4 linked regions of the Tamandua tetradactyla genome follow. The protein of the gene in region 2 purifies or fractionates together with the protein of the main gene of each other region. This does not show direct contact. Links are inferred from orthologs where the notes say so. Each region holds a gene or a part of one and is shown on either strand. Other genes may lie near its edges. The genes, in order: histone H2B type 1-A, TRRAP, KAT2B and EPC2.

What was found.
Region 1: the proteins of TRRAP (region 2) and histone H2B type 1-A purify together in Homo sapiens (affinity purification with mass spectrometry; 3 studies listed by BioGRID and IntAct, counting the BioPlex papers as one, with this or other methods). This does not show direct contact. The link is inferred for Tamandua tetradactyla from reciprocal best matches to the Homo sapiens genes TRRAP and H2BC1.
Region 3: the proteins of TRRAP (region 2) and KAT2B purify together in Homo sapiens (affinity purification with mass spectrometry; 5 studies listed by BioGRID and IntAct, with this or other methods). This does not show direct contact. The link is inferred for Tamandua tetradactyla from reciprocal best matches to the Homo sapiens genes TRRAP and KAT2B.
Region 4: the proteins of TRRAP (region 2) and EPC2 purify together in Homo sapiens (affinity purification with mass spectrometry; 3 studies listed by BioGRID and IntAct, with this or other methods). This does not show direct contact. The link is inferred for Tamandua tetradactyla from reciprocal best matches to the Homo sapiens genes TRRAP and EPC2.

The regions. Positions count from the first base shown.
Region 1 is NC_135351.1:28,935,004-28,940,498, forward strand, and holds histone H2B type 1-A, read right to left. Parts: upstream 1,004-5,495; 5' UTR 977-1,003; coding exon 566-976; 3' UTR 508-565; downstream 1-507. Other genes in the region: histone H2A type 1-A, read left to right, coding at 1,253-1,648. UniProt on the Homo sapiens protein: Variant histone specifically required to direct the transformation of dissociating nucleosomes to protamine in male germ cells.
Region 2 is NC_135349.1:6,908,187-6,915,641, reverse strand, and holds the start of TRRAP (transformation/transcription domain-associated protein), read right to left. Parts: upstream 3,025-7,455; 5' UTR 2,926-3,024; intron 2,637-2,925; exon of another isoform or gene 2,414-2,636; intron 2,275-2,413; exon of another isoform or gene 1,990-2,274; intron 1,957-1,989; exon of another isoform or gene 680-1,956; 5' UTR 618-679; coding exon 518-617; intron 408-517; exon of another isoform or gene 211-407; intron 129-210; coding exon 79-128; intron 1-78. UniProt on the Homo sapiens protein: Adapter protein, which is found in various multiprotein chromatin complexes with histone acetyltransferase activity (HAT), which gives a specific tag for epigenetic transcription activation.
Region 3 is NC_135341.1:68,209,406-68,216,529, forward strand, and holds the start of KAT2B (histone acetyltransferase KAT2B), read right to left. Parts: upstream 3,030-7,124; 5' UTR 2,936-3,029; coding exon 2,633-2,935; intron 1-2,632. UniProt on the Homo sapiens protein: Functions as a histone acetyltransferase (HAT) to promote transcriptional activation. Has significant histone acetyltransferase activity with core histones (H3 and H4), and also with nucleosome core particles.
Region 4 is NC_135329.1:118,547,800-118,554,633, forward strand, and holds the start of EPC2 (enhancer of polycomb homolog 2), read left to right. Parts: upstream 1-3,811; 5' UTR 3,812-3,885; coding exon 3,886-4,038; intron 4,039-6,834. UniProt on the Homo sapiens protein: May play a role in transcription or DNA repair.

The sequences.
Region 1 (5,495 bases), on a different chromosome or scaffold from region 2:
TCTAGTCTGTAGGTAGTTAGGCTCACCTACATGAGCTTTTTCATGCACCACAGCAAACACAGCGGGGAAACACTTAAGCAGCTTTAGAGCTCCCACACCCAACTTCCCAAACGGCCTAAGGTCTTTTCAGACCCAGAACCTTCATTGTTCTGTGGTAGAAAGATGTGACAAACTCTGCCAGCAACATTCATCTCTCTTGATCTAGAGGTACAGCATTTACAAAAGCAGACTAAGTTTTTATAGATCTCCCATTCTCAAAAATGCTGCAAATACATGAGCATTTTTCTTCCTAAACTTCACTTAATTTTAATAGTCCATAAAACAATCGGTATGCTCACCTTCAATTACATTAAATAGCTTAAACTGAAGGTTAACCTGCTGTTTGCCTATCAGCAAAAAACCTTCGTGCCTTGTGAAATCTTCTTAAGGGACATATCATAAGGATCAGCCCTGACCCCTGTTAGCACATAAGCCACTTAGTGCAAGTCCACAACTCTTCCCTGGAGTCTATAAGTGGCTCTGAAAAGAGCCTTTGGGTGAACGCTTAGTTGGTGGCTAGACCACTTCACTTGGAGCTGGTGTACTTAGTAACGGCCTTGGTGCCCTCTGACACAGCGTGTTTGGCAAGCTCCCCGGGTAGCAGCAGGCGCACAGCCGTCTGGATCTCCCTAGAAGTGATAGTTGAGCGCTTGTTATAGTGCGCCAAGCGCGACGCCTCGCCCGCAATGCGTTCGAAGATATCGGTTACAAAAGAGTTCATGATGCTCATAGCCTTTGATGAGATGCCGGTGTCTGGGTGAACCTGTTTCAATACCTTATAGATGTAAATAGAATAGCTCTCCTTCCGGCACTTCTTGCGTTTTTTCCCTTCTTTCTTCTGAGTCTTGATCACAGCTTTTTTGAACCCTTTCTTGGAGATAATAGTGCCTTTTGAAGACACCTCAGGCATGGCTGCTACACCGCTCACCTTCACCATGTACAAAGCGAACGGCGTTAACCAGCGCGAAGAGTGGTATTTATAGGCCCAGCACTCACATGACGTCTTGCACATCTAACATCTGATTGGACAATGCATAGAGGTGTGTATGTAAATAAGGTGACTCCAGTAAGGCTCTGTGATTGGATAGGCGGCTAACAGCCAATCAGATAGCAAATCACAGCCTACCGTTAGACTATAAATAGGCCCCATTGCCAGCCGTTAAGGTTAACGTAACCGCATCTCTTCTTATGCTAGTGGTTGCATGTTAAAGTCATGTCTGGGAGAGGAAAGCAGGGTGGCAAGGCGCGTGCTAAAGCGAAGTCTCGGTCGTCCAGGGCAGGTCTACAGTTCCCTGTGGGTCGAGTGCATCGTCTGCTTCGCAGAGGGAACTACGCAGAGCGCATTGGAGCTGGCGCCCCGGTGTACCTGGCAGCGGTGCTGGAGTACCTGACGGCCGAGATCCTGGAACTGGCAGGCAACGCGGCCCGCGACAACAAGAAGACCCGCATTATCCCGCGCCACCTGCAGCTGGCTATCCGCAATGATGAGGAGCTCAACAAGTTGTTGGGTGGTGTGACTATCGCGCAGGGCGGTGTCCTGCCCAACATCCAGGCTGTGCTGCTGCCCAAGAAGACCGAGAGCCATCATCATAAAGTCCAGTGTAAGTAACGTCCCTCAAGTTGTAAAGTTCATTGAGTGAGCTGAGTCTCAGAAATTTAAACCAACGGCTCTTTTCAGAGCCACCTACAGTTTCAGCAAAAGAGTTTGGGGCAGATTACAAAAAATAAATGTGACAATGAATGGGTAAATCGGAAATAACCTAATTTTGTAAACCAATAGGTCTGAAGAGATTGGTGAATGAGGCTGTTCACTTTTTAAAGACCTAACAGCATTGACCACAGAGGCAAAACTCGCAGAACCTCTGACTTTGGGGAAAATGTCATTATCGATGGAGCTGTTTTAGCAGTGAATAGAGCAGCGACCCTAGGTAGCTAGCTCCAAGCAGTGGGAAGGCCATCATTTTAAGGCAGTTTTGACCTTGGGAGAAGGGTCACACAGGATCGTGACAATCAGCAGTTACCAAGAAAACATGTGAAGATGTGAAAGTCTTTTTTTATGGCTGCATTTCAAAGAGTACAGTTAAATAATGATGATTGGGTTATAAATCAGTGCAGGAAACTTGTAAACTCTCAGCTTTCAGCTCAACTCATTTGAGAGCACGTCTGTGGACATGAATCAAGCAGCAAAGAAGTCACAACATATCTCTAGGCTACATGAGTTCTCTTGTGCCTTCTAACAAGGGATTTCATTCTAGGTTCTGGGATGGTTCAATACCTTGAAATTTGTCAGTGTGACATATTAGTAAGCCACAAGACAAAATACACATACAAATATTTGATATGTATTTTTCCTATGAAAAACGATAGAAATGAATAGTACATTTAGGGTATATTGCAAACAAAAATGATACCACTTTGATATTCAATTAGTAGTGTCAAATTAGAGTTGGTAATGTGACAAATTGCTATCTTCATTCAGCAATAAATTCTTCAATAGGTCTACCACCACTACATGAGGCAAAATAGTACTGTTGGTCATTTCACACTGCACATGAGTAAAAACCCATACAACCAATGGAAAAATCATAAAGCAGCCACATCCAAGATTACAGAAATAAAAACACCAACAAATTGGTGACAGGATAAATGGTGTAAGTGAAATTCTCCAAACACAAAGCAAAGACAAAACTCTGTACAATTATAACGACCACAGACATTCAAAAAGTAAAAAATTACTTTTTCTTACAATACTTGTATTGATGAAATTATACTCAAACCTATGAAGTTGAATAAATAAAAGAGCTACTGTTGAAAACAATTATGAACCCAAATCTTGGGAACCTTGCTTAGCAAGAAAAACAAAATTAACCTAAGAAAGTACTCAAAAATCACAAGGTCGCAGTTCATAAAAATCCATGTAACCTATTTGGAGATACTGATGAAATGTAAGAGTTTTGAAAAACTATAAACTGCTTAAATTGAACCTAGAAAGCAGTGAGGACTAAGGGAGATGGAAAACAAAAATTGAAGTCATTAATGAGTTACCATTCTCGGAGACCAGACTTCCAAGGGTGTTTCATGTTAACATCTTTAAGAAAAAGATGAATGTGCAGCTAATGAAATGGTTTCAATTATGAAAAAAAAGACCATATTTGCTAGGAAAATGTAATTTAATAAAACCTAATGAAGAGAGCATGCTGAGAAGTATAGCACAGTCTCAGTTATAAATAAGAAGCCACAAATCTTCTGTTAAATATGAGCAATCAACTCTGCAGTCTATTAAAAAAAACAGTGACAATTTGGATCCACCTAAGAATGTAAGTTTTGTTTGAACGCTGAACAAAATGCAAAGAATTCACATTATAGAGGGAAAAAAAAGGCATTTTTCTATTATGTTTAGTTGAATAACCTTCATTTCTTAGTGGAATAATAGTATACTTATCATTAGAAGACTTTTCTCATTACTAGTATTTAATATTATTCTGGAGTATTAGACAAATTTTTGAAAAAGATATTAAAATGATTCTGCCTCAGAAGGAGAATACCAACAACAAAATCATGTGCAAGTACCTTCTGCAGGGTAATGCCCCACAATTACTTTACACATTAGGAAATAATTATATTGGAAACTCAAAGGTTCTTTTCAAAGCCATCCATCCACGTTTTCAGAGAAAGAGCTGTGGTCAACTTCCAAAGTATGGCAATTTATTATATCACTTATATTCTCTGTAATACTGATTGTAGCTAATTCAAAATTATGGTGTTACTCTATCATCCTTGGGTATTGCAAATTATAGTACATGATAAGGCATTTTAAGAAAATAAAATAGGACTTTTGGTGGGTGATGTCTTTTGTTACTTCATAAGTTCAGAAAGCCACGTAGTAGTCCTTCAGTAAAAGGACTTCAATATTGCACTTAAATCACACTGTGGAAAAGGTAGAATCCAGGAGAATAAAGACAAATGAAATTGGCATGGAGAAAGGACAAATAAGGCTTGATGTTGAAACCCAGAAGGGGAATGAGGAGATCGGATTATTATCTAAGTGAGTGAATGAGAGGTAGAGGGGTTAAGGGAGCAATCGTGCTCAAAGGCAGAAAGGAAATGTTCTGCTGACACATTATAAACAATAAAATTAAAATACGCAAACTGCAGAACTGAGTTTTCAAATTAAAAAAAATTTTTTTACTATACATTAATTCACATATTAAGAAATAGGTTTCATACAACTCAGGTAACACTCAGAAATACACGTGCACACCAAGAGCTAAAATAAAAGTTTTCAGAAACATTACCATACGATGGGGGAGGGATTCTGAAATTACAAATCTAAATGATTCCATTTTATCCCGTTCGTTTGTGTCCTATTCCAGTTTACAAACAGTCCACGACTTGCTGTTTGGAATAGCAATGGGATGTTGGAAATGGCCAATCAGAGTAGCTCACACTGCACACTGTTTTGGCCAGTGAAATCAATCGCCCCCTATAGATCACAACGATTGGCCCAAAGAGAGAGACCGACACCAGAGCTGAGCCAATACGAATACTTCCTGGATGTTCAACCCTGGAGATTGAAGGGAAGTAGTTAGAGTGGTGCTCCCTGCTGTTGGAGCAAATTGAGAAAATGAAAATAAACTATAAATAGTGAATTTTATCACTATTAAAAGAAGTTGGGGGAGGGAAGAATGTCTGTGTATCTCAGACTCTAATCTCTGAGGATTCTTTCAGCCTCAGCAACTTCTTTTTTTACAGAGCATATTTAGGAATACTGCCCCCTCCCAATTTCCTTAATCTGTTTCATTGATGATTTTCTTTCCTGTGCTAGGAAATTTGACAATTCATGCTACAACTTTCAATTTGCCACACTGAGCACCCCTTACCCCACATAATGGTAAATTAATTTTGCTTAGTGTTTAATCCCGGCCCCTTATCACATCGCTCTTTTCAATGAAATTAAATAGCCCTTTTCTTAATTATGGCTGGGAAATTCGTATACCCAGCCAGAAAATATGATAAAGTTTTACCTCAAAACTTCCTGATGATTGGAGGGGGGAAAATCTCACATTCTGTGCTCAGAACTACCAAAGGAAAATAAAGGTGAAAATGGTTTTCCTTATTTTAGATGCACAAAGTAGTTGCAAAAACAGAGTTCTGCATTTTCTCCCAAAGATATCTTACGTAAACATAGTACAAGTATCAAAACCAAGATATAGACATTGTTACAATACTATTAATTATAGTCCTAATTCAGATTTCACCAGCTTTTTTTTTTTTTTACATGGGCAGGCACCAGGAATCAAACCCGAGTCCTCTGGCCTGGCAGGCAAGCATTCTTGCTTGCTGAGCCACTGTGGCCCGCCCAAATTTCACCAGTTCTTGATGGCTGTTTGTTGTGTGTGTGTAATTTTATGAAATCGTATCATACTTATAGATTTGCAGCACATATGTAATCCTAT
Region 2 (7,455 bases):
AAGTGAAAAACAGCGGCAAAAGGAAAGTACATATATGTGGATATTTATAACAGAAAATAAAAAATATAAAGTATGTACCTCAAAATTTTCACTAACTTCTTGCATCATCTTTAACTTCGTTTCATCAGCTGTAAATGTCAAAACAAATCATTAGTAACTGAAATTAAGTTAAGGATGTTCCTAAAATTACTTAAGTTTTATAATTTAAGAGAAACAATCAGATCTTATCAGTTTGACCATCACAGCCCAACAGAAGGCACATAACTAGTTGCCTACAGTCAGTCACATACACTCGTACACCAGACACATGCCCAGATGAGCATACAAATACATACACACACATGCACGCACAAACACACGTGCCTCTTTGGGGCTCCAGCCAGTTAAGCTCATCACTTTGCTTCTCCACAAGACCTAAAGAAAGTGTAAATTAGGATATTATTTATTTCAGTGTGCACATCATTTGAACTGAGGACGAATAAATGCATTTCCTACGTGACGAAAAGCATCAACTCACGTGTATTTACATCAGTGAGAGCTGCCACAAACTGAAGATATTTTTTCATCAGAGTGGTTTGGTCAACCACCGTGGCCCCTTGTGTTGCAACAAACGCCATTTTTCTTTTGTGCTAGTCTGTTTCTTAAGAGAATGGTTTTAGGTCCATGAGTTCATACCAGCCTATGAAAAGAAGCATTTAGTTAGCCAACTTATCAAGGCACAGGTTCAGAATCTGTGAAAAGCTGATCTAAATGCCTATGCTCATCTAAATTATTTTTGTGTTAATCAAGGATATGACACTATTTCCTCTGTTTTTTTTAAATAAAATTTATCTAGATCCATTTTGTCTACTAAATGTATCTAAACATAATGTTTAAACACATTTGTTTTTTCTCCCCTACCCTCGTCTTTCTTACCCTAAGCCAGAGGTTAGCAAACTGTTTTTGTAAAGAACCAGATAGAAAATATCTTAGGCTTTGCAGCCATGAAGTTTCTGTTGCAACAACTCAGCTCTGCTGTTATAGCCAGAAAGCAGCTACAGACAACAGCATGTAAACAAATGTGCGACTATGTTCCAGTAAGACTTTATTTATACATGCTAAATTTGAATTTCATAATTTTCATGTATCCTGAAACATCATTATGCTTTGGATTTTTTTCTTAGCCATTTAATATCGTAAAAGCCATTCCTTAGTTCAAGGACAGTATGAAAACAAGAGTATAAAAACAGAGATCGGGCTGGAGTTGGCCTGCTGACGAGTTTGCCAACCCCTATCCTAGGCAATCTGGTTCTCAAACTTCAGTGTGCATTAAAACCAACAGGTGACAAAGGTGGATTCCCAAGCACCACCCAGAGAGGCTGTGTGCCCCAGTGAAGGGTACAGGAAGCTGTAAATTTTTGTTTGCAGCTGTCACAGATTAGGCACTCAATTGAAAAAAAAAACCGAACTCTTCGAATGAATGAATAAAAAATGCTTCAAAAAAATGAATAGAAAACAGACTGTTGACACCACTTTGAAAATCGCTGCTCCCAGGTGGACACACCTGAATGAATGAGATTTGTTTTTTATTTTAAGAGCTGTGGCCAAAATGTCTAGAGAACCTGGTGAAATTGTTCTTTCACCCATCCTCCCTGCATATATAAATGCCTGATTTTACTTTGCATTAAGAGGTGGTTTCACAGCTTAGCTTTCGTCTTTCTTCAACAGACAGAACAATAATGTGTCTGCAGGAGGACATGCTCCCCTGCAGTTCAAACCAAAGAGTCCCTTCTGGTCATTTCTCAGACAAAAGAGGACCGCCGGTAGCTGTCCTAGCATTTGTCCACTATCTCAGGACAAGAAGAGTCACTAACGAAACTAAGACCAGGATTCTGTCAGCCCTGCTGAGGGTCCTGGCAATTGCTTGCCTCTTTCAAGTCACAATCTCTCCTCCAATTACCTAAGACATCCCCCTCCCCCACCGGCATCTCCACAACGAGAGTCCCAAACCTCAGAGTCAAGGCCTCTTCCTGCCTAAGAAACCCCCTGCTCCTGCCCAGGCCTGCCCAAACTCGTCCAAGCCTCGGAGCCCGTTTTCAAGTCCTCGCCGGCCCGCAGAGTTCAGAGGCGTCAAGTCTTCCACTCCTCGGGGTGCCGCGACGCGAGGTCCCGCCTTCCGCTGGGCCCCAGGAGTCTGAGGAGAGGAGACCGCCCATGCCAACTCTCTCCCAGAGCAGCTCCAGGACTCCGGAGTCCGAGGGGCCGGGCCTCGGTTCCGCCCAGCCCCCGCGCCAGGCCCAGGTCAGAAGCCAGGGGGCGGCGTCGCGCCCGGGTAACCCGTCGCCCGCACCCTGCAGACCCCCAAAGCCCGCCCGGCCGCGCCGAGCCTGAGGCGGCGCCGCCGGGCCAGAGGGGGCGCTGTGGTAGCCGCTACCTTCGCTCTCCACACCGGATCCGGAGAGTCAGGTACCTGCGTGGAGGCCGGGTTGGGGGGGAGCGCCAGGCTGGCCCGGAGAGGGGGCGCCGTCGGGGGAGGGGGCCCTTGTCCCTCGCCCGCTTCCTCCGGTCCCAAACGGCCCTCCGGTTCCCTCCTTTTGTCACCGTCTCCCCGCCGCCACTCCACCCCGACACTCGGCGACCGCCTCCCAGGCCGTGCTACGGCGAGCGCAGAGGGCCAATTTCCGCGCCCGCTAGCCCTCCGCATCCGCTTCGCCCCATCTGGGCCCGGCAGCGAGCGGAGGTTTCAAGGCTGCCGCTATGCCCCGCCGTCCGGACCGGGCTCCGAGGGAAGGCCGGGGGAGCCCGGGGCGGTCGGAGCCTCCTTCTATCCCTTCCCGGAGCTGCCGTGCCGCGGAAACCTCCCCACTCCTGGGCCGGCCCCGTGAAGCCGCCGCGCGCACTTCCTGGGGCCGATTATCCGTCCCCGCTGAGGGCGCTCGCCCTCACCTCGACCTCGGCCGCCGGCCTCCTGCAGCCCCGGGCCCGCGACCCCCAGCTAAGCCAGCCGGGCCGCCGCCGTCGCCGCTCCGCCGCGCGCAGTCCCGCCCCCGCTTAAAGCAGCAGCACCCGCCGACTGGGAACTAGGTCCCGCCGCCCCCGCCCCTAAGTGGGTGCGGCCTGGGCGGGAGTGGGGAGGGGCATCCACGGCCAGGGTGGGCACGGGTGGGCCCGCCCTGGTCTTTAAAGCCCTGTTTGCAGAGGGTGGGGTTGCCGACTCGGCTGCCCCCCGAGGCAACTGCCGAGTTTCCCTGGGCAGCTCCCGCCCCTTAGTCTCTCCGCAGGACCCGTGCCGGGGGAAGAGAGGGAGGCTCGGGGGCTGCTGCTGGGCGGGAGGCACCTGAGGGGCTCCCTGTGCAGGCGGCGGTCGGGCCCAGGTCGGGAAGCGTGGCGGGCAAGGCTGGGGTTTTACCCCCGGGCTTCCTTTCTGTGACCCTGGGCTCCTCCTTCGACCGCCAGAGGGAGAGGAGGGTCTTTGGGAAGGCTTAGGCTGGAGACCACCCGAGACTTCGCATGTCTAGGAAAGCCCCGGAGTTCTGCCCGGAGGTGGCCGACTCTGGCCCGCCTTCTGCCCGCGGGCAGATGCCGAGGCCTCCCGCTGCGCTCCACGGAGGGCAAAACCCGGAGGAGTCAAAGCTTCCGGCCAGGCCAAAACTACGTGGAGGCCCTGGGGGCAGTGAGGCAGAACAACTTGATGCCCAGGCAAGGGCACTCAAAATACAAACTTCTTAAAGGTTCGTGAGTTTTCCTGCCTTGAGCCCCAAAGCTGGGTATCAGGACGTGGGCGTGCCGTCGTGCCTCACCTACATGTTCCATCCATGGGAGTGGGCCTGGTCATGGATGGTTACCATGTCAGAGGGACAAAGCCAGAAAGTGATCACCTTAACTCCAGTACCTCCAAGACCTCGCTCCACCTCCTGCCCCATCCTCTAACCCCTATCCTCACACCCACCAAAATCTTCAGCTTCCCGAATAGATACAGTTTGCCCATTGCAATAAATAGAGCTTGCAATACCTGCTGATTTCCTAGAAGTTGCCCTGTTCTGGAACATGCCCCTTTCTTGTTTAATGTTGCCACACAAGAGGAGCTTCAGCTGGAGTGTTGGGATTGTTTTTAGCATCAATTAATCGTCTGCCCTAGGAAAAGTAAAAGGAGTCAGCACACCCCTACCGCCGTGGAAGAAGTTCCCTGTTTGTGAGCAAAATCTTCTATGCCTCATTCCCCACCAAAAAAGTCTGAAGTCTGAAGTTGGGGATTGTTGAAAATCTGAGGACCAAAATCGGTGTGCTACTTCATTTTGCTAGGAGAGCAGACGTAAAACAAAACAAAAACTGCAATAGGCAAAATCTTTGCTTAAGTTTTGAGTTAATTGCACATGATAAAAACACAAATTAAGCCTAGCTTAGAGCAAGCAGGCACCCTGGCTTTGGTGAAGGCCCTACACTTCTTATGACCTGAGCGTCTATCCAAGTACTTGCCACACTGTTTTGATTTTTATTTGTTTATTTTTAATTGTAAAATATATATACATTAACATAAAACTCATTTTAACCATTTTAAGTGGACAGTTCTTTGACATAAGTACGATGCAAATACTGCTTTCACCATTATCTATTTCCAGACAATATTTCCATCATCCTAAACCAAAATTCATATTTGTTTCACAATAACTCCCCATTCCCCTCTTCCACCACCCTGGTAACCACTATTCTGCTCTCTGTCTCTATAACTTGCTTCTAATATTTCATAAGGAGAAAGCATATAATATTTATCCTTTTGTGTCTGACTTATTTCACTCCACACAATGTCTTCAAGATTCATACATGATGTAGCATGTCCCAGCACTTCACTTCTTTTTACGGTTGAATAATATTCCGTTGTATGGATAGACCACATTTTGTTTATTCATTCATATGTTGATGGACACTTGGGTTGCTATGAACAGTGCTTCAGGGAACTTTGGGTGTACAATGATCTGTTCAAGCCCCTGCATTCAATTCTTTGGGGTACACACCTAGAGTGGAATTATAGGGTCATGTGATACTTCTATGTTTAATTTTCTGAGAAACTGCCTATTCTAGTTTGCTAGCTGTTGGAATGCAATATACCAGAAACGGAATGGCTTTTCCAAAGGGGGAATTTAATGAGTTGCTAGGTTACAGTTCCAAAGCCAAGAAAATGTCCCAATTAAAACAGGTCTATAGATATGTCCAATCAAAGGCCAAGGGAACCAAGGGAAAGATACCTTGGTTCAAGAAGGCTGATGAAGTTCAGAGTTTCTCAAGTGAGAAGGCACATGGCGAATACAGTCAGGGCTTCTCTCTCAGCTGGAAGGGCACATGGTGAACATGGCGTCGTCATCTGCTAGTTTTCTCTCCTGGCTTCTGGTTTCATGAAGTTCCCCGGGAGGCGTTTTCCTTCTTCATCTCCAGAGGTTGCTGGCTCGTGGACTCTCTGCACCTCATGACTACATTGTTCTGCTCTCTCCGAATCTCTCATTCTCCAAAATGTTTCCTCTTTTATAGGACTCCAATAAACCAATCAAGACCCACCCAAATGGGTGGAGACATGTCCCTTAATCCAGTTTAACAACCACTCTTGACTAAATCACATCATCCAGGGAGATGATCTGATTACAGTTTCAAACATACTTTGAATAGAAATTATTCTACCTTTATGAAATGATATTTTGATTAAAACATGGCTTTCCTAGGGGGTATACTTCCTTTCAAACCAGCACACTGCCAAACTCTTTTCCACAGTGGCTGCACCACTTTACATTGCCACCAATAATGTACAGGGTTTCTCTTTCTCTGCATCCTTGCCAGCATTTGTTTTTTTAATTCCTTCATTTTTTAAAATTATAGCCATACTAGTGGCTATAATTATAGTTTTTGTGTGTTAGTTTTTTAGAAAAAGAAATAAAAAGACAACAGAAAAAGAAATAAAACGATAACAGAAAAAAAAGATTATACATACCATACCCCTTACCCCTCCCTTTCATTTATCACTAGCATTTCAAACTAAATTTATTTTAACATTTGTTCCCCCTATTATTTATTTTTATTCTATATGTTCTACTCGTCTGTTGATATGGTAGATAAAAGGAGCATCAGACACAAGGTTTTCACATTCACAGAGTCTCATTGTGAAAGCTATATCATTGTTCAATCATCATCAAGAAACATGGCTACTGGAACACAGCTCAACATTTACAGGCAGTTCCCTCCAGCCTCTCCACTACATCTTGAACAACAAGGTGATATCTACTTAATGCGTTACAGTTTTTAATTGGCATTTCTCTATTGACTAATGATATTGAGTATCTTTTCATAATCTTTTTGGCCATTTCAATGTCATATTTGGAGAAATGTCTGTTCAAATCCTTGGCCCATTTTTTAATTGGGTTATCGCTTTGTTGTTGAGTTGTAGCTGTTTTTATATATTCTGAATATTAATCCCTTATCAGGTATGTGGTTTCCAAGTATTTTCTCCCATCCCATAGATTGTCTTTTCACTTTCTTGCTAATGCCCTTTGATGCACAAAAGTTTTTTTAATTTTGATGAAGTCCCATTTTATCTATTTTTGTTGTTGCTTGTGCTTTTGGTTAAAAATCTAAAAATCTATTGCCTACTACAAGGTCCTGAAGATATTTCCCTATGTTTTCCTCTGTGTATTGTATAGTATTCTTATATTTAGGTCTTTGATCCATTTTGAATTAATTTTTATAAATGGTGAGAGATAGGGGTCCATATTCATTCTTTTGCATGAGCATTTCCAGCTGTCCCATCACTGCTCAATGAAGGGCCTGTTCTTTGCCCCATTGAATGGACTTGGCACCCTTGTCAAAAATCAACTGGCCATAAATGTGTGGATTTAACTCTGAACTCTTGATTCTATTCCATTGGTCTATAAATCTATTCTTATGCCAGTACCACACTGTTTTAATTACCATAACTTTGTAGTAAGTTTTGAAATGAGGAAATGTGTGAGTCCTCTAACTTTGTTCTTTTTCAAGATTGTCTTGGCTATTCAGGGCCTCAGAGATTGGACTTTCTGGAGGCTGGACCTGCAAAGAGGTCCCCACCCCACCCCCACTGTGATAAATGAACAAACTGGCATCTTATCCTCCCTCTAGGTTTCTTGTGAGCTTGGACAGGGTGACCCAGTGTCCCGATGTCTGACAATTCCAGCTGCCTTGATACAGTCAACAAAGGGAGCACTTTGAACTCAGTTTTGCCCACTCCAAGCTTTTTGGGGATCACTGTTATCTACCCAGTGGTCCCCACCTCCCTTAGTTACATTGCTGTACAGAACAATGAGGATTTGTTAGGACTATGGACTCCAGGGCTGCAGACTTTCCCTTAGCAGAGGGAGAATCAGATATACTACCCTTGCTGGCACCAGCAAGCAGGCTTTAGAAAGGTTTTCAGCAACTACAGTTGACACCAAGGAACCATGAACCTTCTGTGACCTG
Region 3 (7,124 bases), on a different chromosome or scaffold from region 2:
CCAAGTGCAGAGACAAGCTGAGAAAAGAACCATAGGTTCTGATGTCTCAAACCAACTCACACCCAACCAAGCCCAGTATTAAAAAAAAGAAAAGAAAGCAAATTTGATGATGCCACTCTCCCCATTCCTCAGTGCCCTCATGACCATAACTTCCCACCCTCGCAGCCAGGTCAATGGAGTGCTAGCTCCTGCTGACCCAGCGCCTACCTTTCAGAACTGTTTTCTACCTTTCAGAACTGTTTTCGGTTGCTCCATTACAAGAAGCTTCACGCTACCTTACTACCCTGAGCAGCCAAGTGTCCTTAGCACCCACTGGCACTTTCTCTAAGCCATCTCCATCCTCTTCAGGCTCTATCTCGTGAACTGCCCAGCTCTGGCTTCCCTCATCAATTTTGTAAAACAGTTTTTCTGAACTTTATTGTAATTGCTTTACAGTCCACCTCCAACACACACTTGCACACATGAGTGACCAGTACCTCAAGAAGGACAGACTCTGAGTATCACAGTCTAGCTTCTAGCATAGTATCTGGCACCCAGTGGGACCTCTCTAAATATTTATTGAATAAATGGGCAAATAAAAGTTGAAGCTTTCAGAGTTTTCCAGGAGCAGGACAAGAAGCCTTTAAGGTTTTAAGGAGAATTGTAGATGTTTTTTCTTCTTGTAAGTGTGGTAGAGGTGAGTGGGAACACGAAATACTCAAACCACAACCTTTAGGTTACATCTCATGCGTGAAAATTTGGATCGATCAAAAATATCAATGCAGGGCACATATGCCCATGGTTTTAGAAAGAACTCAAAATTTCAGGGAATTGTTAGATAATAAGGTGACAGCAGGCAGTGGGGAGAAGTGGTGTTCAAGATGGGAACCCAATACAAAACCAGAACAGAAACACAGAGCTTGACACAGTCCCTACATGAGACAATGCAAAACACAAATTCACCAAGTAATTGAACTTATTCTAGATTCTGTGCACAACACTCCATTCTGCCTACTACACTGAAGGTCTCACTCTGATTGGTCTAATGCCCTTTATAACCAACTCCTAGCCTTTCTCCTTTTTAGAAGGATGTTCCCTACTTTAACATTTTCACATTTCTTCTTCAGAAATATCATGTCACATTACTATTTCATAGTTTTAATTTTCTCAGCTGAATTATAAACGACTAAGATACATTGTCAAGGCTGAACCTGGGTCTTTTCCACTTGCAGTGTGGTCTGTGGACCAGTAAAGGATCACATAGGAGTTCGTTAGAAATGCAGAATCTCAGCTGATTCAGAATCAGTATTTTAATAGATTCTCAGGAGATTCCTATGTACATTAAAGTTTGAGAAGCACTGCACTGGATCCTACATTCATTCAACAAATATTTATTGAACCTGTGTAAGGTTCACAGCAAATGCTCAATATATACACAAAGAGATGAATGGTCTGGGAAAAGGGCAAGCACAGTCATTCCATTGAGGTGGAGAAACTCCTGGAAATACTAAAAACAGCAGGACCAAGACAGTCCAGGAATTCTAGCAGTATTGATAACCTTTACACCAAAACTCAGAAGCGGTCACTGCAGAGTTCTTGTGGCCATCTGAAATCTGGGAACTTGACCCTGTTTACAAGCAGACGGGAAGAATACGTGCACGGGAGGTGATTGAGTGTGTGCAAGAGTCTTCCCCGCCTCAGCCACAGGCCGCAGAGGCTGACAAGGCCAAGTCTCCGCCCCCCTCAGCTGTCACCCTGTCAAAACAAAGCCTCTGCTGACAGTGCAGGGCCAGCCTGCCCCTCGGCCTTGGGCAATCCTCCCACCCTAGGCGCGCAGCACCTACATCTGGGTCTTCAGCTGAGGGCCCAGGGGCCACCGATAGCTGGGATGGAGAACAGGATGGAAAGAAACGTGTATCCTCAAACTGAGTAGCAGTGCCCACAGTGCTGGGCTGTCACCTTGTCAAGTCCTATTTACACCCCGAGCAGTTAGGACAGCGTTTTAACTAAATAAGTAATAATACAATAATGACAAGGTTGTCACGGCGCGCTGCAGTACCTCCGCCCCCAGCCGAGGGCTCCAGGCGCTCCAGGGACCCTCGCCTCGGGCAGTGTCCACCTCCCCACCCTGCGCGTCCTGCCCCTTCTCTCTCTCTCTCTCTCTCTCTCTCTCAGAGCAAGGAATCCGAGAGTCTTTTCCACCCTCACTCTTTGCACCCAACCCCTCCCAGTGGGGCACCGGGCGCAAGCGAGTCACTCAGATCCCAGAGATGTTTTCCTGACCCTGGGGCGTCCTGCCACACCGTGAACAGGGCTCCACTCCCTAGCAGACGCCTCCGGCGAGCTCCTATAGAGCAGCGAAGCCCCAGGGCAGCCCCGGAGCGCGAATGCAAAGGGTATTCTATCCGAGGAGGGGGTAGGGAGTGGGGAACGGGTTCTCCGACTTGGTGATTCCCCTTCTTCCAACCCAACGGGACTCTTATCCGAAAAGGAGCTAACTGGGCGCGGGCGGCAGCAGCACTTCCGCGGTGCAGCGGCCCCAGGCGGTAGGCGGGAGGCGGGGGCGGAGGGGAGGGGGAGGGGGAGAGGGCGGGGGCCCCACAGAGCTGGGCCCTTCGCCCCCAGCCGCGGTCCGCGAGCGGCGAGCTGGTACCTTGCAGGCGGAGTAGACTCCGAGTTTCTCCAGTTTTTTGGCCCGTGGAGCAGAGCGCAGCTGCGCCTTCTTCACAGCGATCCGGGCCGAGCCGCCGCCTCCTGGTCCTTCGGCCGTGCCCGCCGCCGCCACTGCCGTCGCCGGTCCGCAGGCGCCCGAGCCCCCGGCGGCGGCGGCACACGGAGAGCCCTGCGGCGGCGCGGGGGGCTGCGGGGGCAGGGCCCCGGGCCCGGCCCCTGCCCCGGCCCCTGCCCCGGCTCCTGCCCCGCCGCCGCCCGGTCCGGCCCCGCCAGCCTCGGACATGCCGCCCAGGAGCACGGCAGGAGGCGCCGAGCGTCAGGCGCCGCCGCCGCCAGGGTCTCCCTCTCGGGCTCTGGTCGCCGGGAGAGCGAGACCCTCCCCCCACGCCCTCCCGCCCCCTTCTCCCACCCCCCTCCCCGCCCCCGCCCTCCCCCGCGCGCGCGCCGCTTGCCCGGCTCGCTCCGGCCTCGGCCCGCGCGCTGACGGTGGTGGCGGCGGCGGCGGCGGCGGCAGCTGCTCCCCCAGGAGGGAGGGGACTAGCGGCTCCGCTGCCGCCGCTGCTGCTGCCACTGCACACGCCCTCCCCCGGCTCTCCTCCCCGGGGCTCTGCTCGGCTCGCTGGCCTCGGACGTGCTCCCCGTGTGGAGGGCTGGGGCTGTGTGCCAGCAGGGTGAGGGGGATGCGAAACTCTCGTTGTGTGCCGGTGCCGGGAGGACCCCTTGGGTCTCTTTTCTGCTCCCCGCGGGGTTTGCGCCCCCCACCCCCACGCCTCGACACCTATAGCGCTCGCCCGCCTGGAGGCGAGGCCAAGCTCGGGGTGGGGGCGGGCGTGGGGTTGAGGAGGGGTGTAGGGGGCTGGAGCCCAGGCACCTGCTGGCTGCCTCCCTCTTCGCAGCTCCCCAGGCGACCCCCGCGTTTCCGAGCCTGGAGCGGGAGAAGGGGGCGTCCCAGTCATTTGTCCTTCCACTCTCTCTACCCTCTCTCGGAGCCGAGACAACTTCCTCCACCCTAGCGGGAGCCAGAGGGAAAAAAAAAATTATTTTTGAAAAGTACCCGTCCATGCTAATCCTTTTCTTTGTTGCTAATTCACCAAAAATAAAGACGTGATGGTATCTGCTAATCTTTTTTAAACACGTTTCTATCAAAAGAAAAAAAAAGTAATTAAAAAGGCTTTCTTGTAGTTTCTGGGTGAAACCCGCCAGAGGAGGGAAAAGATTGCCGAGCAATTATTTTCTGTAATTTTTTTTTTTAATGCTGGCTGTTAAAAGAACGATTGCCTAAAAAACACTGTCAAAATTAAAAACATGGGCAGGAGGAGAAGTTTGAATCAAAGTTTTAAAAACGTTATCAGGGCTTACCTTTGCATGTCGGGGTTATAACCCCTTGCTCTTTTCTTTTTAAAAATTTTCCACAGTTTCAAATGTGATATCACCGGCATGCCTAGTAACCGAGAAAAAAAAATTTACGCAGCATCCAAGATGAGTGTTTATTTTGGCCTGGAACTTTTTTTTTTTTAACTGACTCGGCGTTTTCAACTGTTTTTGCGCTGATGGCTGTGAGGGTGGTGTTTAGGAATGTGGAGCGAACATTTCAGTTTTGCGTTTCAAATTTATGCCCGGTCGGCCTCTCAAAAGCAGTTCTTAAAAGTCAAGCACTACTTCTCAGCGCCCTTCACTAGTGCCCTAATTTTGGAGGACAAATGTTATGATGTACAACTTGGGACATGATGTGCTTATAATCAGATTCTTCGCGTGCCTTCTAGCTCTCACCCAATCCCGCAGAAGGCCAGAGACCTCTTAAGAAACAGATTTCGCCGGGAAATGTTCCCTTCCCCATCCCAGTTAATTTTCTCTGTCATTTACCCAGATTTCCCATATTCCTTCAACTTTTAATACAGAGTGATATATAAAAGTGGAACTACGAAGAAGTATAGACACATAAAGTGGTGTCAGAAAGGACCAAAGGAAATATCCTCTCCCAACTTGAGCCCAGTGTAAAGGTCTGAAATGGCCGACTTATCAGGTTCCATCAGGAGAGTTAGTTCAATTCCTCCTTTCTTGGTTTGATGTGCTTCACTTTACCACTGTTACTCTCTTGTGGCTTTGCTGGGGTGTTTTGCAGATTTGGGGTTTTTTTTCCCATTCTTACTCACCAAAGCAGGATGGGAGTCTTAAAAGCTGTGATTCCGGGTCAAACTCCCATGATATTAGCAGATCTGTCAGAATTCCCAAGAATGAATGAATGAATGAAGTATTATGAATTGAATTGTGTCCCACCTAAAGATATGCTCAGGTTCTAACCCCTACCTCCTGATTTGGAAATAGTCTTTGAAGACTTGATTACCTAAGATGAGGCCACCCTAGGTTAGGGTGGGCTTTGAACCAATATGGCTGGTGCCCAATAAGAAGAAGGAAATTCGGACACAGGAACAGACAGATACAGGGGAAAACACCATGTGCCCACAGAAGCAGAGATTGAAGTGCTGCTGGTGCAAGCCATGGAATGCCAAAGATTGCCAGCAGCAAACCACCAGATGCCAGAGGCAAGGAAAAATGCTCCACTCCAGGTTTCCAAGGGAACATGTCCTGCTGACACCTTCATTTCAGACAATAAATTTCTGCTGTTTTTACATATATAGTTTGTGGCATTTTGTTACACCTGCCCTAGAAAACTAATATGCTGAGAAATATCTTGATTGAAGTTTCGATTACGCTGTGTAGACATCTGTAAAACTTATGGAATGGTACGTTCCACTGGATGTAAATGTTACCTCCAAAATTTGATTTTAATCATAAAAACTCTAGTTAATAATATTTATGCTGAAAGTTTAGGGGTGCAATATCCTGATGTCTTTGAGATAACAAATGAGCTTTGAGATGCATCAAAAATTAAAATGAATTGATGCATCTACCAATGGGGAGATGGACAGAAGTAAGCAAAAGTAGCAAAAAGTTACTGATAGAATCTAGGTGGTTGGTGTATGAGTGTTTGCTATACAATTATGTCAACTTTCCTCTATGTTTGAACATTTTCATTAAGCATAGGGGCGTAACGGGTTCCACCTTTAATATTAACTCACCATCCATTACCTTCCCCTCTCAAGCCACCCCCAGAATTCAGGAAGCATATTATTTCCAAACTCAGAGCAATTTACTATCAAAACGACCACTGTCTGAATAGCGAATAGCTTGTGACATCAACTGAACGTTATTTCTCATTATATCCCTGCTGAGAGCATGCAGATATACTGTCTTAAACTGAAGTCTCACGGTTTCGAGGCCTTATGTGAAAGTGTGCTCTGTGTACAAGGCAGGGAAGTTTCAAGGGCAAAGAATTCAACAGGTTTGTTGCCCCTTCATAATCAAGCTGTTGTGAGCATTTAGTAAGCTCCTCCTGTGGGCAGAGCACTCTGTTAGGAAGTGGGTACCAAGGAAAAAGAAAAGACAGTATTTTAGCCTTTAAAATACATAGAAACTAAATGTGGTAAGAACATCACAATTAGAAAATAACATGGACTTGGGGAACGGAATTGTAGGGAGCAAGCTGACTACTGAAGGTTATTTGTAGTATAGTCACCCTATGGAATATTATACAGCTGTTACAAAATGACCTTTATTTAAACGCAATAACGTACACAGAGCTCCAAGAAACACTGAATTAACTCCAGCACAGTGTAATTCTGTTTGTGCTAAAGACAAACTCTCATTAACATATGAGCAAGTTCAGCATCTGTTCAATAAATGCACATAAAATGTAAAAGCAAGAGAACAATCTAGAAAGATGCACAGCAAATTCTTAAAAGTAGTTGTGGGGAAGGAGAGCGGGCCAAGCAGGAAAGGCAAAACAGTAGAGAAAGATGCAGGAATGAACCTCATCTACAACCTAATTCAGGTTTTTTGCCCCAGTTTTTTTGGTTGTTGTTGTTTTAAAATATATAACAGCTTTACTGAGATGAAATTGGCATACCATAAAGTTCACCCTTTTAAGTTGTACAAATCAATAATTTTTAGTATATTCACTGAACTATACAATCATCACAATTGATTTTAGAATATTTTCATCACCTTCCCCTGCCAAAAAAAAAAAAAATTCTCCCCTCTCCCCATCCCCTGGCAACCACTAATTTAATTTCTGACTATAGAGTCATCTATTCAAGACATTTCATTTTCATGGATGCATACAATATGTGCTCTTTTGTGATTGACTACATTCACTTAATATAATGTTTTCAAGGTCTAAATCTATATTAAAACATGCCCCAAACTTCAATAATTTTTATGATGGAATAATATTCCATTTTATGGATATAACACATTTTGTTTATCCATTCACCACTTGATGAACATTTGGGTTGTTTCCAATTTTGGCTGTTATGAATAATGCTGTTATGAAAATGTGTGTGCAAGTTTTCGTGTAGACATATTTTCCACTTCTTTTGGGTATATACCTAGCAGTGAAATTGCTGGGTCAT
Region 4 (6,834 bases), on a different chromosome or scaffold from region 2:
CTTTCCCCACAACACAAAGATTCAGAGCTGCCTCGGTAAAGGGCACTAGAACCAGGGGAGTGATTTCAATTGATTGCAAAGAACGCAAACTCCACATTCAGACTACATATGGAAAACAACACAGCTTTATTTGTTTATTGGTTTTGGGCTCCTTCTTGGGAATGAGGGGGAGGAGTGGGGAAGGCAGTTCACATACCAACCCAATTAACTTTCAATTGGGTTTGCTAAAACAGGGAGCCAATTAGAAAAGACATGACATTTAAGAAACTCTGAGATAGTTGAATGGTAACTGTGTTTACTAGTTTTAAGGTTCTTTTAAAAAAGTAATTTGTTCATTATTTGGAAGTTGCCTGCCCTGATAGCAGTACTGGGAAATAGAAAGTGGAATATAATCTCAATTCTTATAGTTACTTGACATTTATTCTAATTTTAGACCACATTTAGGCAATGGTTTTATTTTTGATATGGTTTATAACTGGTTCTAATTTTGGGGTGTTTATATAGATTACACTTGCTGGGCTAAATGCATGCCGTTTGGAATTGGTCTAGAGCATATCTGAAGTAGACTATGTGAAGGTCTGTACTCAGTGCATTGTACACTGAAATTAAAATAGGCTATTAAACTGCACAACCATTTTAAATAGACTTCGATAAAGACATTTTATAAGGTCTACTTTAGAAGTTGAAAAAGATATTTTCTGTTTGCAGCACTAAGAACTATATGGGTATTCAACAAATAGATTAGAAATAAACTTTATTTTATGAGAAATAATATTTATATACAAATAAAAGCTACTTTCCAAATGTGAAACAGAGGTACATTCTGGTTTGAGCACTGAACTGGAAGCCAAGAAAACACAGGCTGTGTCTCACTTGAAAAGCGTATTGTGTTATTTGACTCAAACTGTTTTATTCCCGCTCTATAATCATTGCCTACGAGGCAAAAAGGAAATGGAGCTTTGGGGAAGAAACCGATTACATGGTCAAAGCAAAAGAACAAAAGTAAAGCAACAACTACCTTAGCAAAAACCTGTCCCTATTATTGAATTTCAGATTTAAAAAAAGTTTATTTGAATTTCCTTAATTGGTTCAAAAATTCCTATACCCAAAGGTAGGAAGCTGGAGAGCAGGGTAGGTCCTAAGAGCAAATATTGGCAGCAGTGGTTAGGTCAGGTGACAGCCCAGTAAGGTACCTGAACTCTGTCTGAGATGGGGTGGAATGGGGTCAGTTTCACTGAATTTCCTGGTGGAATATCAGTCAACAACGTACGTTAGATGCCTGCTCTATGTTCAGATGTGATTGACAGAGCAGACAGTGTTCTTGCCCTTCCTGGGGCTATTACATCTTTAGGTTCTTGATTATACAATTTATAACCCATTGGTAGGAAGGGCTCAGTAATCTGGATCAACAACTTTGGAATACTGAATGGTCAATAAACAGAAGAGCTTGGCTAGCTGTGTAGGACTATTAAGAACACATGAGTTTTGGAGTAAAGCTAGACTTGGATTTGAATCTAGTCTGGATCTCAGCTTTCTTGCTGGTAAAATTACACTTCTTCACAGACTTATGAGAATTAAGTGGAATTCAATTACTTGAGCGAATACATCTATCCATTATAATATCTAGGATACTACAGAAACTCAATATTTTCTTTCTTGAGAAGGAGTAACAATAAATATAGGGAACAGAAGAAAACTATACTTTCTGAGAAGTGCTGGAAATTTAAATAGAAGTCCTGGATGACTCATTTATTTCTTCAACTATCACCTTAACTTTTCTCTCTTTCAGGCTTGAACCCAGTGCTGACCCTCTCCCAACAATGTCTTCCTTGCAGAGGACTGGAACTCCTTCAGAGTGCAGCAGTCCAGTAAGGGACATGTGCATAAGCTTAAGGAAGGTAAAGCTTACAAGAAGAAATGAGTCACAGCAACTCCATTGTTTCCAACAACAAAATGGATGGAAAACAGCTAAGCCCCAGAGTCTTGCTGGGCCAAACTGGTTAGACTGTTTAGACATAACCATGAACTCCATATCTACTATTCTGCCTTGAGGAGAGAAGAGGGCGTGAAAGGGGGAAGAGAAGGAGGAAGAGAAAGAAAAAAGGAGGGGAAAAGAAGGTAATAGAGGAAAAGATATAGTTTTGGCATCAAATGGAAATGACTGTAGGCATCTTTTTTTTTCTTTCACTGCTGGATTTAAGCAAACCATCTACCTTTCTTTGAGTTAGACAGAATATTTATCATGTATTACGAAATGTTAAGATGCATTACCCTCTTCCTAGGGATTTTGTGAGAAATCTGTAATGCTTAAGTCAAACCAAGAAACTAAACCAGATTACTTCAGCAAGAGCTCCTATTTATTTAAGACTCACCTTGATTTTCCTTTCTCCTTAGACCTTTCTCTGATCAGCTCAGGCTAAAAGTAATGTCTCCCTGCTCTGAACTCGCAATTATTGCTCGTACAACTCGTTTAGTAATCATGTGCTACTGCCTCATGTCACCTCTGGTATGGTGTTTTCAAGTATTTACATCTTTTGCTGTCATTTATCTTTCCAGCTGCCCGGTTCTTCAACTCTTTCTTTTAATGTTGTTCATCTTTCTAACTGTCCGTTAAAGTGAAAGATCATCGTGGGAAGGAATTTAATATCAAACTTCTTTGCGTCTTTCACAGCACCCAATATTTTACACAGATCTACCACTTCAAAAATGCCTACTGCCTTGGTCAAATTTTCTAAGTTTAACGTTAAAAAAAAATCTCCGCCTCAACCCGGCCCGAAATCAGAGATATATCTACCATCCTAAAAATATACTGAAGTTTGGAAGACCGGTACACTTGTTGCACCCAGCAGCCTGAAACCACTAACTCTCACTGCTGCCATTAGCATCCATACTCCCAGTGAAGGCGAGGATGAGCAAGGATGCCTTACCTTAGAGAGCTCTTTCGGTCAGGTATTAAAGAGAGTATGCGACGAAGAGGACTAGGACAGGACGAGCGTTTGGGGGTGGTGGGGGGTGTGTGGAGGGGAGGTCTGCTCCCCTCCGATTGGGCAGATTGAAAGGTCTTTTCACACTTCCAGGGGACGTGCGACTTGGAGGATGCGAATTAGCCTGCGCTCGGGCGTTTTGGAAATAAGCGCTTTATACGCACAACTTCGGGTGGTAGCTGTCGTAGCCCTGATCAGCATGTTCCATTCCCGCTCTCACACACACACACACACACACACACGCGCGCGCGCGCACACACACACACACACACTGCTCGGCACCGCCGGATTTTGCCGGAGCCTTCCTTCGGGGCGTCCAGAGAGCCGGGTGACCGGGCCGCGGAGGAAGAGGCGCACGCTCTGCCGGGCGGGATAACTTGCGCACCTGGCACCTGCCACACCGCGAGAGCGCAGGCTAGCGAGCCGAGGGTCGCCGCCGCCCCCTCTCCCCTGAGCGGCCCGAGACTGAGCAAGCTCCCGCGGGCCGGCAGCACCGCGGAGAGAGTGGGTGGGCAGGCGAGGGAGGGGAAGGGAGAGGAAGGAGGGAGGAAGGGAGGGAGAGGACGAGGCGCGTTCCTGCGACGGGGGCGCGCTCTCGCGCGGGCTGCCGGGATCGCTCGCCGCCGCTGTGGTAATGTCCGCCATGTTGGCCATGGCGCAGGGAGCGGATCGGGCGGGCGAGCGACGGATCTAGTGTGTGGAAGCGGCCGCGGGCGGCGGGGGGCTGTTTTCGGGCGGGGTGGGCGCCCATGCTGTGGCCGGGGGCAGTGAGGAGGAGGAGGAGGAGCGGGCCGGCCGCTCTGCACTGAGGAAGGAGGTGGAGGAGGAGGCGGGAGTCCTCCCCCCCTCCCCGCCCGCCCCGACGCCGCCGCCCGGGCTGTTCCTGTAAGGCGGGGAGACAATGAGTAAACTCTCCTTCCGAGCGCGGGCGCTGGACGCCGCCAAACCGCTGCCCATCTACCGCGGCAAGGATATGCCTGATCTCAACGACTGCGTCTCCATCAACCGGGCTGTGCCCCAGATGCCCACCGGGATGGAGAAGGAGGAGGAATCGGTAGGGACTCGAGTGTTTATTACCCCCCCTTCTCTCCTCCCCCCTCCCCTTTGTCAGTCGGGCCTCGCCATTCACAGAGCGCTTTACGCTCGCTGGAGGGCGCCGCTGCCGCTCCAACGCATGGGATCCTACGCCGGCGGAGTAGCGTAAACTCTCTCTGCCGGCGCAGCGCCCGCCCGCGGCCGCCATGTTGTTGCGTCCCAGTGTTGTGATTAGCTCGCAGCGCCGCTTACGCTGTCGTAAGGGGGCCTTGTCGTAAGCGGCGACCGGGAATGGCGCAGGGGATGCGCCGGCCGCACTTGGCGTAGGCCTCTGTTTACCTTTCTTTCCCCTGCCTCTGGCGCGGGGTTAATGGGTGAGGGATCCTTTGGTTCAGAAATATGTGTTCACTTCCCATTTTTAAATTTGGTTTTGCATTGGGTTCTTTTTAAAATGACGTATGGAACGTAAGGCGCTTTTAAAACAAATATTTTCCTCTCAGCAAGGTAATCCTCACTCCTCTTCCCCTCTGCCCGAGCTGGTGCAGCGGGATGAGGTGGTGCAGCATTGCGGCTGGGAGGGCGGGGGCAACGACTCCGGAGCGGGATGTAGCGTTGGAGCGGCGCGACGGGCTCGTACCTTGGCCGCGGCTCTGTTAACCTCGCCGGGACGGCCGCAGCGTTAGAAATGAACTAAGACGTTTCCGAGCGGCCGCCCGCGCTGCGCTGTGCCGGTGTTCGGTCTCGGAATTGTCAGCGGAGGGTAGTTTTTCAGAAGTTGAGGACCTAGTACTTCTAAATTGACAGATGTGTGTTTGATGAAATGCAGAAATGCTGCTTTGTCCTACCCTTATGGGTTGAATTTTGCATATGGATGAATTTCATCTGGCTTGACGAGAGTGTTTACGACTCTCGAGTGGTGTTACTTGCGTGCGAAGTTCATAGTAGCTGCATCCTCAAGAATTTCTTCAATGAACTTACGGTCCCGCCTTATTGTCAACCCCGGGTGTGTGTGGATTGGTTCTCTTGATTCTGTGACTGTCAAAAGAAGGCTCAAGGTCTCCGTGATTGGTTTTCTCTTTTGACTATTAATATTGCAGGAAATGCTTTTATGTCTTTGATTGGCTGCTGGAGTTCTGACCTCATTATGTTACCCTGTTATTACTACTTTCTGCTGTGATTTAATCGCATTTCTCTTTAGTGTTTGATTACTTGAGAGACTTAACCTTTTCAATAAAAATGAATAAAGCTGTAGTATAAGGGTGAACACTCAGTATTGTTTAAATATATAAAATAAAAATCCCAACATTTCTGCCTAAGGCTTTGAGCTGAATGCTATGTGAATTTTTTTTTTAAATTAAATTTGTTTCCAGCTTAGCTCAGTTTTCCATGCAGGATGGTTCACATAACTGAGTTTTCATTAATAACGTTTTAAAAAAGACAGGTTTGGATTTCACAAAGCTAAATTTCTATTAATATATTTTGAACCAAAAAGAAAGGTGGGTTATGAGTTTAGTATCAGTACTTTCTTTAGTTTCTTGAAATTAGTTGGGAAGAATTTGAGTCAAGAAACCTGTTCTAGAATGAACAGTTAACTCCTGGAAGATTACTTTTTGCAAACAATAATTAACAATATACCTGGTCTTTATTTTTTCGGTGTATCTTGGTATTTTATCTGAATTTAGAAGGAAAATCTGCAGTTCAATTATTTTTTTTTTATGTTGGTCATAAATAAGTTCTTAGCACCTGTTACGATTCTGTGCTATTATCTTTTTCAGTAAAACTTGTGAATTGCAGTCTAGGGCATGACTGCCAAAGTTGGATCTCTTCAGAATTGTTCAGTTTACTTCAGTTTGCTGCTGCATGCCTCAGTTTTTGAGGAAGAAGAAATCCAAATTCTGATAGAATTGAAACCCAGGACCTATGACTCTTTGTTTTGTCCTCTCTGCCTCTTTAAAGTCACTAGTGGAAGTTCTTAAACTTCCAAACAAAGCCAGACATTAAGATTTATAGTATAAAAGTCTTTTGCTTCCCAGAATGTTTAATTGGAGTGTTAGTTTTTTAAATTACATGTTAGTTTTTAATGTCAATTCATTTCTTAGTCTTATTTACAGAACTTCTTTATTAAGGAGATTTGTTCACTTTAAAACAAAATGCTATACCTTGATAAACAGTTCTAAGCAGCAGCAGTAAAGTATTTTGAATTTCACAAATTTTTGTGTTTCACTTGAATTGTATGTTCAACTGAACTTTCAGCATCTGTGTGATCCAGTTACTTTTATAAGTATTCTTAAAAATCACATGGAACTGTTTTTTTTTTTTTTTAAATCTTGGCTTATGTATTTACTAATAAACTTTACTAAAGTTTTTCCTATTTACTAATTTCTCCACAGTGTGACCACTATCTTGCTTGACTTTGCAAAATCCTGCCCTTTGACTTCGTGGATGGCTTCTGTTCCTCCACCCTACTCCCCAATAAAATTAAGTCTTCTCCTCTGTGCAGCCATTGAACTATCATCTTTGTTTATATAGTCATTGACTTGCTTTTTGAGTTACTTTCTGATATGCCTCAGGAAGGTAATCTAGGTGTTCTTTGGCATTGGTAGTGGTATTCTGTTAGTTCATTTTTTCTTTCAGACATGCAGGTATCTTTTACTGCTTTTCTTCCCTTTCCTTATTTTCGAAGGTTTGCCAGTTGGCATCTTCCTATAATTTGGTTTCTGAATTGATGCTTATGGCACTTGGTCTAAGTTAGATTATGTAAATTTATTATTTTTTTTTATTATTTTTTTTACATGGGCAGGCACCGGGAATTGAA